Linked DNA regions of Neodiprion lecontei. The protein of the gene in region 1 purifies or fractionates together with the protein of each later gene. This does not show direct contact. Links are inferred from orthologs where the notes say so. Each region holds a gene or a part of one and is shown on either strand. Other genes may lie near its edges.

Region 1 (10,330 bases):
TATACCGGGAGTACTGCTCCTCTTTTCAATCGGCGTCATGGTGGGAGACAACGGAGCAGTGAAGTAGAACAGCTATAGATATAGGAGCATAATTTCGCCTCATCTCCTCTTCCGCCTCGATCCCCGCCACAAATATCGTCAAAGAGAGAAAGGAATACTCCCAGCATATTTCTGTCCTTTAAATGTTTTCTTCAACCGGCTCATAAGAGCGCTCAGTCCAGTCAGTCCGAATACTGCGCCAGCTTCGTCTCTTGCGGGTTTCGGCTCTTTTGCTTTTACTTTTTTCTTAACTTTCAACGACCGATTTTCTGCTGACGAATCAAATGGAATTTTAATTCTATCTCATGATACAGGTCTATTTTTACGATACTTAGAATGGCCCTGGATGACCCGATGACCTGATCCAATCTGACTTCTCTACCCAACGAAAATGCAGATAATTCTCTTACGCGATCTGACAAATTATCGTGCCGTAGTGTTCAACAGGTTACGCGCGTCGGATAGCCTTCGGTAAGGCGTAATGGTAGAAGTGATGTATGCTGCCTACGGTAAGGCGTATTGGGTTAAGCGGCTGATTGCGAGCAACAGGTGTGATTCGGAAGGGTTACTTGCATCCGAGATCAGTCGTAGGAATTACTAACGAAAATCCCTGACAAAAGACTTGATTTAAATTCAGATAACCTGTTTTATTGCGAATAATATTTAAGTGCTTGAAGCGACACGATACTGAATCGGTTGTATTGCCTCGCAATTACGAGAAATAGTAATTGCTCGTTCGAGTCATATTGACCGTATAATTAACATTTTCATCTAATTTTCCACAAGAAAAATACATGAATCATATACAATCTCCGTATAGGATTCTAATCAGATTCAACAATCTTGCAACAAATTTCTAATTATACATTCGCTGGCATAACGGTGATACGCAACACAATTGCGCAAAGCACAGCAAAAAGAGAAAATAGGAATATATTTTTTACAAAAAAAAAAAGAATCAGTAGATAAATTTCATTCGCATGAACTAAATATATCGTTTTGTCGTACAAAACTTCAGTGCCTACTGAAATATTGTACTGAGGTATCAACGAGATGCTGTATACAATCATATACAATAGATTGGCGCGTAATTACACCTGATCAACAATCGTTGCCATGAGGAGTTGATTTATTTACAGCTGTAACAGCAGGCAAATGTATGTACGAATATCAGTTCAAGCCGACAGTCAATAGAAATTCGTGGCTAACCTCGTAAATAACTTATTAAATACACGGTGAGTAATTTTGTGAGAAGAGAATCATTTCTATTTCTCACAATTTCACATTTTTTTAATCACCGAGTTAAATATAATTACGCGGGTGAAAACGAAGCTGCGGAACGAATTTGTTTAACATTGTACAAAATTTGTAAAACTGCTACAAACTTTCTTCACCAACGTCCGTTTCTCGTTTTTCATCACAATTCATCTCTCTCTGTGAAATCATCGTCCTCCGTGAATTCATCCTCACCAGATACAGTGTCCGAACAGAAGTTTGCCACATCCGTACAGACCTTGACATCGATGTCTTTAGTTCCCTTGCTGAACAACTGGACTATATCATCTTCAAACTCATCAACGATGCCTTCGCACTGAAGAGGGAATAAGGAAACAGGTTTAAATCAAGGTAAAACACGACTTGGGCTAATGATAGTTTGTCACAATTAAAGAATAACTCCGCTCTGCTTACATAGAATTTGAGGCTTTTGTTCAAATCTCCGTCTTGAACAATGTCCACTTTGCTGATGTCAGGATTCATTCCTCCGGTAGGATCCATTATTCTTAGAAGCGTAAGTTGACCGGTTGATTTGTACGTAGCTCTGACATAGTCGTCAAGTTTGGCGCATATACTGTCGAGCATGTCAGAAATGTGCACTTCAGATCTGGCGAGAGGAATCTATTGAAAAATAATATATTGAACAAAAATATTGATCAATCAAAGCGTATCAGCAATATAATCGAGCAAAGAAAATTCAGATCACAGATTGACAATCAGTATATCTTATCAATTTGGTATCAGTTATCGTAGCTGACAGTTGACAGCTGAGCCAATTAGCTATATTTCTATCAATACCAGGCTATCATAATTCTTCTACTCATCTCGGATCAATCAAATTTATGAAATCAAGACACATGGAGAAACGGTAAGAGGCTACATGTTTACGTACAGACTTTTGTTTCACATTTCCATTTGCGTCCAGTCGGTAGTTACCAACATCAATGGAAACTGATGGATCGATTTTAGCTATTTCTGCCTCCAGCTCATCCATGGTAGTTCTGCAAACTAAAGGCAAATAATTATCAATAGATCCAAGATCTTTTGTTCGGACGTTGATATTTTTTTAGCTACTCCTTTGATGTTCAATGTTTTCACAACGGTTAATGAAAACTTTTTTCATTCCTTTCGAATAAAACTTTCATTTTTTCCGCACCTAAACATTGTAGCTGTTTGCTGTCAATTTGCTGACTCTGGGTAAAAGCTCCGATACCTAGGCACAGTACTGATATTATCGTCAGGAACATCATCGTCTGCAACAGTAGAGTAAATAATGATGTTAAAAACAATATCAACAAGTACACAAAGCGACAAGACGAGATGGTCAGATCCCTTCACTGTTAACCTTGAATAAACCCTGGTATATGTGGATATTTATAACCATACCAGTTTCCTGTAAACTCTATCGAAGTCAGAGCTACGCAAATCACCTGCTAAACTTAGGCGAGGAACCTGCACGTTAAACTGCGGCTAATCCGCATAGGAAGCCTGCTTTAAACTACCGTGATCATCTCGCGAACGCACGACACGTGTAATCTCATCGCCCGTTACCGCTTCGCTACACGCTCTCAATTCCGATTGGTCGACTACTAACGCCCGGCCGCCACTACCGTCCAATGAAAAACGATAGTTTCCTGTGTCGAGAGGTCGAGTGGTGACCGACGGGAATAGAAAGGAAATGAAACATCTAACAAAAGTTTCATTGTTGTTACAGTTGTCAAACTTTAACCGACAAATTTTACTCTGTCAATTGATGAACTATCAAGACTTTTAACTTTTACATTGGGCTTTTGTGTGCATCTACACCGGGTGTCGGGTTGTAATAATTTACGGGGATATTACCGGGATTAAGATGTTCGTTCGATATTTTACCACTTGTCAGTTAAATGCGAGTCGTAGTGGTGTTCGACTTTTGAAAGACAATTTTGCCCAACACCGCGCGCACGCGTGTTTTTGTAGCGACTGGTCGGTCACATTTCACTTTGTATCGTCGTGCCAACCGGACGAGACAACTTACAGAAATCGACGGCATCGTGAAATAATAAATGTAATTAATTAATACGTGCGAGAAAGGGAATTGATCAGTAGATGTCGAATGAGCAGCGATGTCGATAAAAGCCGATAGGTCGAAATGATTTTATAATCGGTAATAAAACTTTTTAGTGATTTGAAATCGCTGATAAAAGAACAAAAAAGCGAGTGACGGCTATCAATGGTACATACATACCCATATGCACTGTGGAGAGGAAGGAAAAAGAGGCTCACGCACAGTTCGTCTTCGGTTGATCAGATCCAATTGGCCTGCGTACCGGAACGACACGCGTGGCCGTACGTACACACGTTTTATTCACGAGTAAAAGGGGTTTCCAGCGATTTTATCATGAATTTGAAGAGAAAATAAGGCAATAACGGAAATCGTAAACATTTGGTCCTCGGTATTAATCATTAGTTAAGAAACAAAAGCTGACTACAAAGGAAGAAGAGGTTAGCTATGGCATGTTTGCCGGGGATATCGGAGTTCGTAATCGGCGCGCAAACGTCGCTCGGACTGATCGACCAATCGGAGGCGAGCTCGGGCCGAGCCGCGGGCGTCGGGCAGCATGAAAATGCAGCTTCGAGCCGAGGGAAAACAGTTGCCAAGTACGGACGAGTCCATTAGCTCGCGCAATGGGGGTGATCGTCAGTGACGCCGCAGAGTCGATTCCTAATTTAGATGCAACGCGGCTGACGCGAGTCAAACTCCAGCGGTTATTAGGTGAAATAACAGTGAAAATGTGATCCTGGCTCGGTCCGAGACCAGCCTCCGCTTATCCGTTTGATAAATCGTCAAAGTGTTGTCGGAAGGACAAGCCCGTCACCCCTCCGGGCTCGTTTGAGTTCGGCCGTATTCGCGGCTGACCCGACAGTCTTCAATCGGTCACCTGCATGAGCGGACCAGTTTACCCGTAAGATGTGTCAAGATTCATCACACAAGAACAATAATAATAATCGCTATTTTATTGGTGAATATTTCCAAGTGTCGACGTCAACGGAAAGTGCAGTTTTATACGCTCTGATTGAAATTAAAGTGAAATTCAAGCGGCTGTCAGGTATGTAAAATTGTGGTCATCACTGATTTGAAAAAAGAGAATCTCCCCCCTCCCACGTATGCATTTCACCCTTGAAAATTCACTGACGCAGTCATAAAACTAGGCAATCGTGAGCATCGAATGTATAAAATAATCCGGCACATCTGAGCCAGGATTAAAAAAAAAAACTGCGTGTCGCGTATCACCGCGGTGACAGAAATATTGTTTGGGGGGGCCGGGCGGAGTGACATAATGTCCCGTGTTGCGTTACTACGTCATATGGCAAAACTCTAACGTATTTTTCAATTAGAAGTTAAAAACTTCCTCGAGGATCGTGCTCCGTCCGCATATCGTTACTCCCGTTCCTCGCTGCACCAATTTGCATATTTTCGTTGATGTATGAAAATCACGGTCTATCGTTTGTCCACTTTCTTACGATTAACCCAGAGGCAAGCAGAAGGCATATTTGTATAGTTCAAGCAGCTAACCGAGTACCTACAGACTCGTAGCTTCGCGTGCAGCAGCGGGAACACTTGGCATCGCCGCAGCCGCGTTATGGAGAAGAAAACATTCGGATCCGCGGGAGCCTCGTTCGAAATAATCGTTCGTTTCGCGTAATACCCAACCGAGAATAATATAAATCCGTCGGATTTTTCACCCACTTTAATAATTGAAATTTACCTGTTGTCGCATTCTGTCGTTGAATAATTTTACTGGAATGAGAGTAGTTGCTCACACGCGTACGCATGCCACAGATTGACAGATGATTACCACGAACTATTTTAGAAAAATCAGAACAGAACATCGCCTACTAGAGTTTTAGCCATCGCAATGCAGTGCGACACAATTCGATTAGGGATGTAGGTTTTTTCATTTAAATTTGAGTGAAAAGCGCGTACGATGTAATTTTGCGTGAAAATAATTGAATCACGATGAAAAACGTCCGCCCTACGGACTGTCATATTGATATCGGTGGCTTTTTCATATAAGATACTTTCTTTATCATGTTGTATCCTTGCAGCCAGTTGTGCGACTACTATGTGCGGTGATTAATCTCCTGTGAACAACATCCGTAATTGCAAACGCGTTATACCCGCATTGCGTACCTATGCAATCGGTTGGGTGAGTGTTTAGAGAAGGAATTCATCGCCGAACGTATTTGTTGTTATACGTTTTTCGTCTCTGTTTCGAGCGAGAGCCCATCGTTTGGCTCGCCCGCGCGTTTCGCGTAGGACCGCGGGATGCGCGAATGTGAGAGAAGCGACCACCAGCCACGCAGAAACGGAACGCACGCTTCAAATATCGATTCCGGTGCACACGCCGCCGTATAATAACGATGGCTCTCCCGGCCTCGCGCCTCGTGCTGCGTACATCGTCGCCGTCGGGTTTGCGCGCAAAATGCGAAGAATCACCATGAAACAACGGGAAAAATATACATGCGCACGCTTCCGTATATCCAACCGCTATTATATTCCAATGCATAATTCACGAAATTTAGTACCGCGTTAAAATACCAACGATACGAATGTCAGAAAGAGAAATTTCCCAACATCAAATTCAACGAATATTTATTGAGAATTTGCACAACACTGACTACGAAGAAAGCCGCCGCCGCTGCTGCTGCTGTTGCTGTTGCACAGGTACGCGTGATTTGACAGGCCAAGTAGGTAGTTCATCGGTTGCCTGAATAAGCTTCGGACACATAAACGCGCGTGCGCACACTGCCACAATAATTCGCGGTGGAAAATCCAAAGCTTTGAGTCGACGAAGGATAGAAGATTGATCGTTGGCTATGTGTGTACGTACTACTCGATGCAGGACCTCATATTATGGAACGAGAGTATGTTGCGTGGGGGAGGAACTACTTTTGTCATATTCTCATGGCGTGTGCCTTAGAACGGCTCTCTGTCCACTAAAAAGACTGGCTCCTCAGGGCCGTCGATACAAAAAAATTTCTCTCCGTTCCCCTGTCCCTCACCAACTCCCGCGTCGTGTCGCGGTGCAAAGCGCGGGAACCACGGCCTCTTCGACGTTGCGAGTATTTTCTTTAACGAAATTTCGTACCGAACTTTTGACGTCTGTCCCATTTATTCAGGCATTTACTACTTATTGTTGAGAGTATTTGGAATCTGTAAATTTGTAATTGAACAAACGAAGAAACGTTGTCATATATCTATAAGTATAATGCATATACTTTCATGTGAATCAGATCTTTTAGTAAAACGAACATCAATTACAGCCTAATTGTGACGAATTACCATACATAAACGGCACATCCACGTGTAACTGGGAATATCGATACGGCGATGCCATCAATTTATTCACGAAATAATGGCAAATTGATTGTGGTCCGTTACGGCGTTTGATTAGTCATATATTAACGTCCGTCAGTTCAAAGATTTTCGCCGATTTTGGAGTTTGCGATACAGGAAGACTCCTGACAAAGCGGACCCATCGAATAATCGCACTATTAATACCTTTCTCTGTCATTTGCTAGCTTCAATGCAAAAGCTTTTCAAAGGTAATTCTAAAAAAAGAATGGAATACCATACAAAACTACGATACAGGGAATTGATGGAACGCAACCACGCACAGCTTATACTCTTTTGTACATCTTTTGAATTTTTAGAATCTATTGAATTCAATTAGAAAATTTCACTTCGTCCAATTTGTGGGTATCCCTATGAAACTGATTTTTAAAGTCGCTTGCAATACGAGTACGAATATGTAATACCAAGATAAACGTTACCCAGTGTCAAAGTTAGTGACACATCTTCTCGGGGGGTAAAAATCTGTCATTGTCGAACGCAAAAGTCCCTCATCTCGCGTGCGTGGACTTGGTCCGCCAATCCGTTGACTCCTCTCTCAAACCCGGGCCAATACGGTACAGCCTTACGTATATCTTTCGACCAGTAGCGTATATTTTCTTTTATCCACGAAAAATCGGGAGACCATCCTTTCAGCTATTCCCCGCATCTTCTGGAACGTAAGACGAGTTAAAATTTCTGGCATTTTTATTTTGACATGTACAAGTTTATTCGCAAAGAAATAAAACGAAATGACAAATGTCGACGCCACGCGTATGTTTCGCCGCTGGGTACGGCCCTGGCAACGGCGAGGGGCTAAAGGATCAGCGGTGGGGATATTTCGCTCCCGAGCAGCAATAGAAACATACGTATATGCGACGAACGCGGGCTCGCGGCAACGCTGTATTTCTGATTATCGGGAGAGCCGCGCGCGCACGGTCGAAGGCTCACCTCTGCGTCTCTGCCTCTGACTGGACTCGCGCTACGACGGACGACGTGGCTGCGTTGTCACATTTTTTCGTTAGCGGCCAAAATAAGACCGACTTCGGGGCTTCTTCTCCTTCGTCTTCTTTCGTTTTTTTTTTTTTTATTTCTCCTTGTTCTTTCCACCTTCCCCGGCTTGTTGATACGTTACACAGATGGAAAGCAGCAAAATAGTAGTCGTCGGAACCGAACTCCCCCACCTGGTATTCCATCCCCACCTCAATATCTAATAACTGACGATGATACAGCTTTTACACACCTCGGGCTACATGCATATATGCGGCAGATAACTACCACGCGCGGACGGGCCTCCCCCTCTCCACTCTCTCTCTCTCCCCCTCCCCCCCTCTCCCTCCCCCTCTTTCTCTCTCCCTTTCCCCACTCCCTTGTCATCCGTACTCGAAATGATAGAATAACGAAGAAATAAAAGAGAATAACCAAAATATCCGGTGAAACAACGGAATCCCTGGTGACGATAGTGTGACCGCTGCAGGAAATGTACGTAAAAATCGAAAGGGCGTGCTCGAGGTGTGGCGACGGGCGTCAGCGTCGACTAGGTGACACAACAAGCCTGGTTGAGAGCGAGCGATGGATGGCGGCGTCGGGCTTGCTTACTCGGACGAGGGACAGACAGCTAGAGAGAACTACTACCGTGATGCACCCCCAACCTGACGATGATGCTTCGTCCGTTTTCGTCCCTCTCGCCCAGTTCGGTCATTGGCGCTTATCCGAATGTCGACCGTATGTGGCTGTCCATATGGAGACGAGAGAGAGCAAGGTTGCTGTTGTATCGTAAGATATCGCACGAACCCTAGCTTCGATACCTGTCTGAACAAAACAAATACATAGCTATATGTATAAGTATCCTTCGTGTACTTTTCGGGAAAAGTTTTTTTTTTCTATTTTACACTTGAGAAGTAGCTCACGGATTGAGTTTAGCTGAATGCCCCTCCTCGCTCACTTATGTCCGGATGGATGACCTCCTACTGTCTTTTGCGCTGGTATTCTTTGATCGCGTACTACGCTAGTTTCAGGATGGATGCGATACCGTTCAATCGGGAGGGAAAAACGTAAAACATTTACACTACGGATCAATGAATGTCCGTACGACGTGTAGAAGATCCGGCTTATCGCGATTAAATTTTGACCTTGATCCTTTACTGCTGCTAGCTGCGGTTCTACTTTATCGAAAGATATTTTTCAAACTGTGAAACACACCGTGATGTTTACATTATATGCTTTCAATCATTTATTCTCGTTATTTTCATTAGTGTTATTTAACACTCAATCGATCCACAGGACGTTGTTTTGGCTGCTGGTGCTGTTGCTGGTGTTTTATTTCGATTTGACAAATTACTTTCCAGAGAATTGCATATGTTTTCGCTCGTCAAGAAAGACCAAGGTAGATTATAGTATTTATACTCACGTACATTTATTTTTTCAGTACAACATACGGTACATACACAAATGCTAATATGCATGTACGTTCTTTTAATATTTTGTGATCAGAATACGCTCGGGGGCATTTGATTATTTTTTCCAAGACTTCGCCTATATCGTAGATAAAATTTTTGTCACGCTTCCTCCTGCTGTTCTTGTTTACCACACGACAATCGGAGATGAATTATATTGCTTAGGGATTGAACGCATCACGTAAGAAATAAAAAAGTCTTTGCACGTCAAAATTTATAACATGTGTATACACAGATTATATCATTGTTTACGATTTGATGCCGGTGATTTTTGGCATATATTTAACGGAGATCCGGAAAGAGCTGAATGCGCCTGGATTGATTAATTCACTCACACCCTCGCTGCCAAACGTGAGCACGACGAGCATGTGTGTGCGATTATGTCCTCCGATAGGTTGGTCAAGGGGTGACGCGAATTACCTTCCATATTACATATACTCGATAATACACGCGTCGTCGTTGCGTCGTCGTCCCAGCTTTGCTCGCCCGCGTCTCGAACATGACGACAGAATCACGGCGACGGCGTTGTTACGTTGCCCCGAGTTTTCTCCTGCCGCCTGCCGTCCATTCCCGGGTCTAGAAACACACAGCCAATGAGCGTCGAGTCCTTTGCAAGCGAGCCAATGAGACGCGCCGGCATATGCTCTGCGACTTGGAATAAATCGCTGCGAATTTCGAATTGATACAGGATTCAGGTACTTGCATTTGGCATCCTGGAAGATTTTCTTCAACATTTTTCACAATCGCGATGGTACTCCACCGTCTATTTTACCCGAATAAATCGTCCTACCGACAGATCCGGAGAGTGTTGCGCAGTTTCCCGTGACCCAGATAACCAGGGGGAGTTTGCTCGCTGCCGGGAACAGCTGTTGGCCGCATAAAGATGGCCGTCGCTCCGGTATTTCGTTAACCTGCGCGCGCCGTTTGGCGGCCTCCGTCGTCGCCGCTAGTTTCAGGGGCGTGTCCGTGGGTGAAAAAAGGGAGACACCAAACCCCCTATCAGGTCCCGTATTCCGATTAGAACGGCAAAATTTACCGTCCGAACGAGCGTGTCGCGATGGTTTTTCGACTCGTTGATAAACTGCTCTGCGTTATCTCTGGAAATTTGTAAATTTTCATCGAACTTGTTCACTCCGTTCATTGGACATATTATCTTACACCTTCACTTTTAAAAGAACGTTGACGT
Region 2 (10,453 bases), on another chromosome or scaffold:
TTTTCTGAAGTAAATTAAAGCAAAGACCAATATGAAGTTGAAAGAACCAAAGGAACTTAATCGAACAGTAAAAATGTTACGTTGAGATGTCGAACAATAAGTGAATATGGCAGCCTGACGAATATATTGGACAAAAACTCTGGAGCCTGTGTCATGGGAGCATTCAAAGATAGCACTGGTGCCCTGAGTGAAACTGAAGCGAATTTTTCAATACTTTAAGAATTGTCACAAGTAGATGTGATATGGACAAATTGAATTTTTTCCCGAATGCAGTGAATTGTTGAACTTGCCATCTATAAGTGTAAAACTGGTAGGAAAGAGAGTAAATTGACAACGAAATGTCGAATCAGCAGGATCAGTTAAAACGTGATAATTTTCTTATACCATATTCAATGGGCGTTTATAATTGTCCTGTAATATTCACCTTCATTCATCAGTATGTTAGGGTTCATAATAGTGACGAGTTGGTGGAGAAGGTCCGGTTGGCTGTGGAATAATTCCGGGGCAGCAGATTTCATGGAATGTTCAAATCTTTCCGCCTGAGATCCAGGAACTCCGTACCAAGTCTTGGGCTCTCCCCAGTGTAGATAGTTTATGGAATAACTCCAATGATCTTCGTTGTGCCAACAAAAGGTGGCAAAGCACATGCCAACGTACATCCAGGGAACTTTCATCCCGCTAATGTCTGCATTGATGTGTCCCAGCACGCTTCCATGTAGAACGGGTAAATTATTCAAATTCCACGAAGATTCGGCGTACTCCTGATCGCACGTGAATAAATTGACACTGGTCTTCGTCGGGAAACCGGAGCCATGATCCATTGTGTGCAAATCAGCCCCATACTCGACGGTCACATCTTCATCTATCGAAGAAACAATCCGCCAGAATTCCTTTTCGACCAAAGGAGTCGGTACCATCTGAAAAAAATTACCGTTTAAAGACGTAACTCGAGAGAGTAATTTGAAATTGAATGAAAATATGATGCTTACGTGTACAGGCATGTTGAAGTAATCGCTTTTGAACTGATCGGCCATTTCGCCAAATTGTTGCAGCGTATATTCACGCTGAGCTTGTTCAAATCCAAAGGCTTCCATAGGCTTTGAGACTTCTTCGGCGACGCATTTTGGACATCGCCAATCACCCTTTGGTATTTCGGTTAATGGTGGCATAAGGCAGAAGGTGTGATAGCTGTCGTCGCATCCGTCGCACAACAGCATGCTCTCCTCTGTATCGCCTCTACCACAGTTGTGGCAAATGTATTTGGCAAGCTGTGAAAAAAAAAAAGGACAAAGGAATAAGAATGTGCAAAAATATAGGAGATCTTTAGTAAGCTGTAATACACCGATAAACAAACAATTATTTATTTCTCAACACGTGAAAAATTGAATTCACTTACCGGGTCAAAATCATAGTGTAATTTGACGCCTCTGGTTTTGCTAGGCTTTTTTACATCTTTGGTATTAAAACCGGCCATTTTCGGACCAGGTCCGTAAAACTGCAATTTTTTAAGCTCTTTGCTGTTATCTTTATCCTTTTCATTGTCAGAGTCGCACTCATCTTTGCAATCTTCTTGCTTAATAGGTGATGTGCTGTCTGTGACTAATTCTGGTTTTTCATCCGTACCAGCAAATCGCTTGGAACGCCGTGAAAATTTTTCATTTGGTGGTTTTATTTGCTGTCTCGATATTATTCCATGAGGCTTATAATCCCTGTCCTTTTTTTCATTCACGTCACCCTCTGGCTCAATTTTCTAAAAAAAAATCACAATACTAGGGTAAGCTTTGGACCATTTAATGTTTGTTTTTGATTAATAGAGTCCAATTCAGGAACTTCACATAGTTGAAAATAAACAAAAATTGTACCATCAGCTCTGCATAAAATGTCTGGAGGCCAACGCGTTTTTTTTTTTCTGTTTTCTTTTGGAGACAGTACAAATGATTTATTACTGATTAAATGAATAAACACTACATTGATAAGTCAGTTGCAAATTTAAGCTGAAGATACTTACAATGTCAGTCAAGGTTTTCCCTTGCTTGAAAACATCAAAGGGATACAAAATTCTTTCATAGTGGTTTTTTAAAATACTTCCAACGCTTCGACCGGATGGATATCCTATCCTGTTTGCAATCTTTGCCCACCTTCTTTCTTTAGTAACTGTTTCAATGCCACCTATGAAACAATATTACAAAGTATTAGTATTATCGTTAAATCACAGGTAACTGGGAAAGGACGATAAAAACAATCCTTTACCTTCCTCGGTGACAATTCTGTGTAAGGAGTACAAGTCTAAAGCTTTACGTTCAACCAGTGGAATTTTCAACGATGATCCTTGAAGCTCCCAAAATTTGGCTATTTGATCTAAAAAATTCAGCTTTATTCTGGTCTTTGCTTCAAGTTCGTTTAACCTCTGAATTCTTGGTACAAATTTGAATTTGTCAACGTCAACGGCAAAAGGTGGTTGCCAATTCTGTGGAAAAAAAAAAATATTGAATTTAATGAGCAAACTGGAAACTTGGTTCTACTTATTTACTTATTTTCTTTAGTTTGTAAATTGGAATTAAACATTTTACAGTTTTGGAAAAATTTATTGTACATAGTGGTTCGACTGTTGACAATTACATAATAAATGGTGAAAATTCTATTATAGTTTTTCCCGTTTATTTTTAAACTATGCAATCGCATGTTTCGTCATACAAATTATACGCCGAATCTATAACGGTAAGCGTCCTCCCCCCTTCCGCCCCTCTGACGCTCGCCCTTTGCCCTTAGCAATGGCAATAAAACACGGATGCATTTGGATTACTGTTTTGTTCTAATTTCAAATCTCGACAGTTGAAGCCGACCTTAGTTTTCGGTTCGGTTCGCAAACTCCTACTTTACTAAATTATTGGATATAGCAGACGTGAGGTAGGATTTGTCTCTTGGATTGATAAAATGGTAATGCAAGCGTAACGTATAATTTCTTGTTTAGAGAAGAAATAAGACACAATTAACAGGGGCATTCGCAATATAAACAACGACAGCTCTTCGTTTGCCGTTGATTACTTTTCACCTTTCTTTTCTTTACAGTACGCGCACGGATATGCAATGTCCGTTATACCTACATAAAACAAAATGGACATCATCTTTCATTTTCTTTCGACGGATTCGACAATCGTCAGACGCTTGTAAATTGAGTAACGGAATTACGTATTGACCGAATGCTCTCACGGCGATTTATTTTCCGAGGTTTGCAACTCATTTGACATTTAATGCAAGAAAAATAATGGCTGTATCAGGTATAACAACTTCGATCGATTTTATCGTTACAGGTAATAATGTATGCGTATAAACATCGTCGTTGGATTGACGTTTCTTGTTTTTATTTGTTGTTTCCGATTTTCTCGGTTTACACCATTTCAAATTTTTCTCGATGATAAGCGTATCGCGGCTGCGATAAAAATTTATTCATCTAGTAATTTGCTAATCGTAAAATGACGAACGACCATTATGTGCATCGATATAGCTATAGTTTGTGGATGTAACACGCTGGTGAGATTAACATCGGTGGTAGTTTCGCCCGAGTAGAAAGAAAGAGGTAGCATAGGTGTTCGAAAAACAAAAAGAGAAGAAAAAAAAAAGAAAGAAAGAAAGAAAATCGGTCAGTAAAGAAAAACGACACCAAATACAACAATAATTAATTATTCTTCCGGAAGAATATTTCTAATGACAGTTTACAACTGTAAAAGTGCGACATTAACGTTTGTGAGAGGACGTGAGATAATGACGAAACGTTATGTCAGTCACAGGAACAGTCGAGAAGACGCAGCATTTAATATACCTAGATGTCATTTGTTTACGCGATTTCCCAAAATTAACGTCCAATGTTAGCATCGTCAGAGCAATGAGAAAGCAAATCGACAAACAGAATCCCGTTTCTGCCAATGTTATTTATTTATTTACTCCGCATTTGTTCCTTTCATCGCGTATTCAATCGTACAACTCTAGCCCATGTGGATACGGGTGATTGTGGGAGATTTTTTTCATCCCGAACAATAAGGTATCCATCCAAAGAGGGTGTGAGCGCGTGTGTGTACATAGTATTTTTTTTTTGTTACACATTTTTATCGCATCTACATCACTTTTCGCTTTCCTTTCTCAAAGCCCCCAAACACATACGGTTCGTCGACGCTGGATTTTAACATCTCTACGGCATAGGGAAAGGGGGGGGACGATAAAGGGCGAAAGGCCTCCTAGATGAGGGGTGAGGCGGGGAGGGCTGTCGCATCGTTGTAATTACTCACTGGCGGTGGTTTTATTTTGCAAATTCCCGATTTTTCGGCAATCGGACGAATCTTGGAGATGTAGCCAAGGGGGTCGAGGAATTCCTCCGCTGTTGGCTCAAAGACTGGGGCCTCTGGTGGTATAGCGAACTCAAAATCCTTGTCACCTTTTTCACTCATATCTTTAGCGTGATAAGTACCAAACCGAGCCTCGCACCCGATATTTACATCCACCTTAGAGACCATCACGTAATTTCGTCACACAACGAATGCACACCACCAACGAGGACATATAGGCAAAGTTTTGGTATGTTAAATTCCCCCGTGGATTTCACTCGGGAATCACCAATACACCGTGGCACGTGACAATAGTGTGGGGATCGATTAGGAAACTCGGTACTACTCAGGTATTAATTGGAAAAACTTGTTCGTCAATGTTTTTAGCGCAGCCATGGCTACGGATGTCGTATATATGACCGTTACCGATGTGACAATCCGTCCGTCCGCACACAACTCCTCGGGTTCTATGTAGGAACTATAGAACGATTCTAATAGGCAGAGCTGCTCGGTACTCACACCAGTCCGTCTGGCACGTACGTATGCATTCAGTACTTGTTCCACTATCACGCTGCTCGAGAACCAACCTCTGCGCGCATGCGACAACCGAATGCGTTTTTCTCCCGTGTTTCTTCCATCGGCGCTTCCTCAATCCTCACCGCCAACATGGCTGATACCTTCACGCCATTGACTGAGCTTTCGGCCACACCGGAGAAACTGCCGTCGAGGTTATACCTGCGTTTTATTGCGTTCATCTCTCAAGACTCTACGGAGCATACGAGGCGTCGTCAATTCTACGGATGAAAACAGATTGATCGTTTGAATCGTCGATGTTGGTTAGGCAGCAAACTGGCTCAGCGATCCTTCATTGGTCAGTTGCGAAAGATCCGTGAAAAAAATAGTATCCCGAGTGAGTCAACGTTGGCAGAACTGCTGGCCACTCGCTCCTCAGTTTCGTTTCTTCGTGTTGGTGCACTTTGTCTACCCGTCTGAAGTCGGTATCTTCTTTCCATTAGACTCGACGTGTGCTCTCTGCGCAAGGGGTAGGTGTCTTTACCAAATAATTACATAATTTATTCGAAAAACGATAGAGTTATCTAACTTAATACTCGATGAGTTTCTCCGCGGTATTCCGTTTGCCGTTTTTACCGTATTTCTTCTTACGTAATTCGGACGTGACTGTTAGGTTGGTCACAGAGAGGGCTACGTACTGAATTACGTTATTTGCCAGTCAGTCGATGCTTTACGTCTTCTGTTGCAATTTCTCTGTTGTCATTAGAATATTCATAGCCATCAGACCGATAAGAATGTCCAGCGGAATGATTCATTTTGCAAAAAAGTGTGTTCGGCACCTTCTTTCTACACCAATTCCACACACCTTTTCACCCCCCCCCCCCCTCGCTCGTGTGGTAACTGTCGTATACACACCACTCGCCACACAAAATAACAGCTTAACGTAAATCAGATATTTTCCACAGACAGTTGGCAGGATGGGAAAGGTATTTGGAAACCTGTACAAGCTGCGAGGAATTATTTATTACCGACTTAGTCCGTACGAGCAGCGGGCATTCGCAGGTGCGATATCTCATGGTGTACCGAATGTATTTCGTAGGATAAAGGAGAACTTGTTTACAATGGGCCCACGTAAGTATCTCAACAAAGTCGTACGAGACTGTGTGATTAGATTCAAACCAGTCGTGTCTGTAATGTCTAAGATGAAAAATTTTCTTGTTAAAGCCTTTTTAATAGCCTACTTGGTCTACGACTGGGCAGAAAAGGAACACGCTCGCCTTCAAAGGAAGAACCCCAAGGATTATGAAAATGACGTATAAATAATTAGTATTTGCATAGTTTATTTATAGAATATGGTTGGAAAGTCAAACAACACACATGCATATATCTATCTGTACAGAGTATCCGTGAATATATTGCGTGTATCGAATGTCTAAAGTTATACTACACGAATAAAGTTTCCTGTCAATTTAACGAGAAAGTGTTCGTTAAGAGTACCGTTTGAAATTTAATTTTCAGATAATACGTACTCTGCTTAACGAGTTGAAAGATTTATAATTTACCAACGAAATCCTGCTATCGAACGTTCAAACGGCGTCGGAAAAATTGACAACCTGAATTTCTTCGTAACCATCCTCCTCATTTTGTTTTCAATTCTTAAAGCAGCTGTTGTGGGCCATTCATTGCCAAAATTTGTTCAGAAATCACTTCTGCATAATTCGAAAAGCCAATTCTGGAAATTAGAAATACAGTCAAGCTGTAGTTGACCGAATTCAATCGATTTCGTAAAAACTTGTAATATGGCCACAGCAAAATTGAAATATGGTAAAAAAAAAAATATCAGGACTACGTTTTTTCGGCTTTGACTTTCAAATTGTCTGAAAAACATCCTTCGGCTTTAGAGGACGTTTTTAAAATAGCGAATTTTCTCCCATCGACACTGGATTATCGTTAGCTAATAACGATTCATGGATGCGAAAATTGTAATGCAACAGCCTTGACTGTATCCTCCGAAAGAATCAGACTGAAGTTAAGCGATTGAAAAATTACTCTCAAGGAGTTGGCTTTTCAAAATTGAAGTATATTTTGTTTACAATGGTTTACCAAATCTCGGACTTTCCTATAAATGCGAAGTACCGATTTTTCGTCAACATGCACCGTTACAGTAACGTTACTACTTTATCTTGACTTCATCCTATTCCGAAAGAATCTCGGGTACAGTTTTCAAAGTTGGAGCTTCCAAATTCTTTCACCGACTCCATTTAAATACCTTCCGCGAAGAAAACAGTTTGGACTTTAACTGTAGTATGTTCTTGCCGTAATAAAAGAAGTTTATGCCTTCCATGTTCCGAGAAATACGAGCAGGTAAAATTTGGCTTGAATTCAATGGCCAGAGCAAGCAAATACCCACGACTGTCGTTTATTGTTTTGCCGCCTTTGTGAGCGCTACAGGGCAAGCCGAGAATCCGCTATCGGTGGCCCAGGTAAACCTAAGACCTCTTCTAACCGATCGTACCGAGCTCCGTCGCAGGTCTCGACGAATGGAAAGCTCGGTACCGTTCCACCTCGACCAATGAGGTGGTTCGTTTCATTTGCTACCTGTCCGTGGGTCGAAGGGGGTGAAGAAGGGGGACACCCGCCCAAGTTTACCTGGGGCTTCGTCAGGTATAGAGGTACGGCACAGGTATTTCCAGTCGACAATGAGTGGGACCGAGGTCCGCCCAAAACTCCGTTGCTCTGTGCCGTATTGTATATAGGTGAGTAGAGTGTGACGTCGGGACTGACACTTGTTGACGGAGTTGATAGTTTTCAAACTTTTATCGTTCTGGTACCTGCAGCTATACCTGTAAGTTGATAAGTTTACAGTGAAAATAAACGGCGGCGATTGGTCTTGTGCCACGCGATTACGATTATAACCACCGTCATATTGGATATTATAAGTTTCGTCGAGCCAAACCCGCGTTCTACCAAAACTCGGCTGTCACAAGGTATTTATCGATGATATTCCACTACACCGATACACCCACATACACGCACGCACATACGCCCATACACGCAGCAGCAGAGATATGGACACTCTTTGGCTAGTCTTAACATCCGACTACCGTAATTTTGTATCAGTATATACATGGGGTACGAATAACACAACTTGAACGGAGCTCCAAGCGTCGATTCCACTTCACCCATTATGCGGCTTATTTCGCAAGCTGTCTGTTTTTCCTGGTTATTGTCCTCTTGAAAATCCAATTAGGGTTTCAGTTCTTGGTGTGTGTTAAGATTGGTGTGTATTAAGATACGGCCGAATTGCCGGTTGAAGCCGAGCTCAATCCCGTACCCAGCTTATGCTGTAGCCCGAGGTAAATATCGCGTTGGGTTGTGACGATAAGGGGAAAGAGGATCGAAAGGAAAAACAAAAATCATACCGGCGTAACTAACAAGAAAACCAAGGTGATTAGAAATCAGTTCCAGGAACTAGCCGCACACGGTGTACTGAATTATTTAAGCGTCTGTACCTACATTGGACGTAATATTTCATCTCGATCCTTACAATTTTGGTCGATCCCGTTCGGTTGTGATGATTAATTAAAACTTGACGAACAGCTCAGTCAAATTTGTCAAAATGCTGATAAGTTCGTGCTAATTTCTTGCCTATCAAGAATTGAAAAGTATCGCGACTTATCTTTCCCGATTAGGGTAATATGCGGTTAGACAAACACACGCATTATTCCGGTAATTTTTGCACGCGCCATGCGAGCTTGATATGCACACCTTGGAAATTTTTTCATCAATTCCGATACAGGGTGTGTCAGCCTAAGGCACGAATAGCTTTGTGAAGCACGTCGTCGTCGCGCAACCTCCCATAAACGTAGGGTAATGTTAATGTACGGAAGAACAACGCGGTACCTATACCTACGCCTCGAAGACATTTCCGATGCGTTTCGTAACGGTCTTACTTTGCCACATGTATGCACACCGACACCGCGCTGCAGGATTCGAGCACCGATTTTCGCCATGCCGTACACGGTGTGTAGATCTATTTTACTTCGCGGTATCGAAAATCGCTTGAAAACACCTGCGCCTAACTTCCAGCGTCTGCACGATCGTCGGACGCTACACACCATATTCCACATTCACAACCAGCCATTAGATTTTCGACCTTGGCCTTGACGAGGTCCGACGACCGATATCTAACTCGGCATCCGAATGTCGAACTTTCTTATCTACCGTATCCCATCAATTTCAAATTGTCAATCAATTTCGCACCGCACTTTGCGGTACAACGATGAAGATCCATAACGTTAGTAGGTATATTTCAAAACGAGCATAGGCATATTATATTATTATACACGAGTTATGAATGCGTACGTGTATTCCGGGAGCAGATGAAAGTTTCTCGACTATACAATATATGTATATATATATGTATATATGCATAGGTATACGTATGCACGTAAGTCGAACCGTGCCATGCGTACACGCGTCGTACCTTCTGTATTTGTGTCAACTGTATACATATACGTATGTGTACACACGTGTTTCGTGTGTGGGATAAGCGCGTCCATTACGGATTGGGAATTTCAAATGTGGTTAAAGTCGCCTTGGAATCTCTGGAATGCGATTCAGCCAAGAACTGATCCCTTCTGGCTGTCTATACATATACATCCTACGTGATACGTACACGATACATACACTTGCGTACATAGGTATACGCATACACACGCCTGTATCGGCGCGTGCATTAATACTCTTTGATGCCGCATGAGATGAGCGGGGGGAGGGGGGGGGGGGCACCTTTCGTTACTTGCCCACATCCAGCCTCGCAAGCTTACATCTCGAATTCGATAGTGTCAACATAAAGGCGCGTGCACACGTGACGTTTCGTTGCCAGTTTTTCACCCGTTGACTTTTGTTCTTTTCTTCTTTCTTCCTCATTCAGGGTCGATGACGATGATGATGTCATTTTCCGTAGGTACGAGACGCACGTTCGCACGTCGGTCGTGTCACTCCGAACAATCAACCGCGAGGAGAATTTGATTCCTCTTGAGGCGCGATACGATATCTAATTCTTGCTCTTCGTACGCCTTTTTTGACTTGCCTATCTTTGACAATATCAGAGACACGATTTTCACCAAAATGGCAGCCTCTAGGTATTGAGGATATTGAGCGGCGAAAATCTCACACATAGTATTAACAATGATGCCGGGATGTTGTATTTCTTTTTCTTTATGCATGGAGTCATACTTCTTGCGATGCTCATGAGAATCTGAAAATATATTTCTAGAGAATTGGGTGGGAATTTTGTAATTATAAGTTTCTATACCAGAACGAGTTTAGATCAGACGCAGTTTTGACGGTATATGAAGGAGAAATTCACCGCCGAGTTGTTGTTACCAATCTAATCTATTTCTCTAGACTGGTTGGTTTGCTCGCGCAGGCTGCAGACTTTCCGTCGTTCGATTTGCAATTGAGAAAAAAGAAAACAGCGTACATACAATCATTCGCCAATTTCTTTCATGAAAAAGCATACTTAGATACCGCCTGCGAAGAAGTAAATATAACGTAATCGCCGTTTGTTGACACGCTTCATGCGAGACTGAAAGTATTTCACATAATAGTTCAAG

The links.
Region 2: the proteins of paired amphipathic helix protein Sin3b (region 1) and lysine-specific demethylase lid purify together in Drosophila melanogaster (affinity purification with western blotting; 3 studies listed by BioGRID, with this or other methods). This does not show direct contact. The link is inferred for Neodiprion lecontei from reciprocal best matches to the Drosophila melanogaster genes Sin3A and Kdm5.

Annotation. Positions count from the first base shown.
Region 1 is NC_060263.1:14,434,204-14,444,533, reverse strand, and holds the start of paired amphipathic helix protein Sin3b, read left to right. Parts: upstream 1-3,615; 5' UTR 3,616-4,403; intron 4,404-5,976; coding exon of another isoform or gene 5,977-6,058; exon of another isoform or gene 6,059-6,073; intron 6,074-7,116; exon of another isoform or gene 7,117-7,361; intron 7,362-7,639; exon of another isoform or gene 7,640-7,896; intron 7,897-8,165; 5' UTR 8,166-8,464; intron 8,465-10,330. Other genes in the region: protein seele, read right to left, coding at 1,457-1,630, 1,729-1,935, 2,207-2,322, 2,471-2,567, 3,542-3,615, 5,977-6,058.
Region 2 is NC_060264.1:35,602,015-35,612,467, forward strand, and holds the start of lysine-specific demethylase lid, read right to left. Parts: upstream 4,879-10,453; 5' UTR 4,509-4,878; coding exon 4,284-4,508; intron 2,468-4,283; coding exon 2,251-2,467; intron 2,170-2,250; coding exon 2,009-2,169; intron 1,751-2,008; coding exon 1,397-1,750; intron 1,269-1,396; coding exon 990-1,268; intron 918-989; coding exon 425-917; intron 1-424. Other genes in the region: cytochrome b-c1 complex subunit 8, read left to right, coding at 5,810-5,963, 6,057-6,151. UniProt on the Drosophila melanogaster protein: Histone demethylase that specifically demethylates 'Lys-4' of histone H3, thereby playing a central role in histone code. Does not demethylate histone H3 'Lys-9', H3 'Lys-27', H3 'Lys-36', H3 'Lys-79' or H4 'Lys-20'.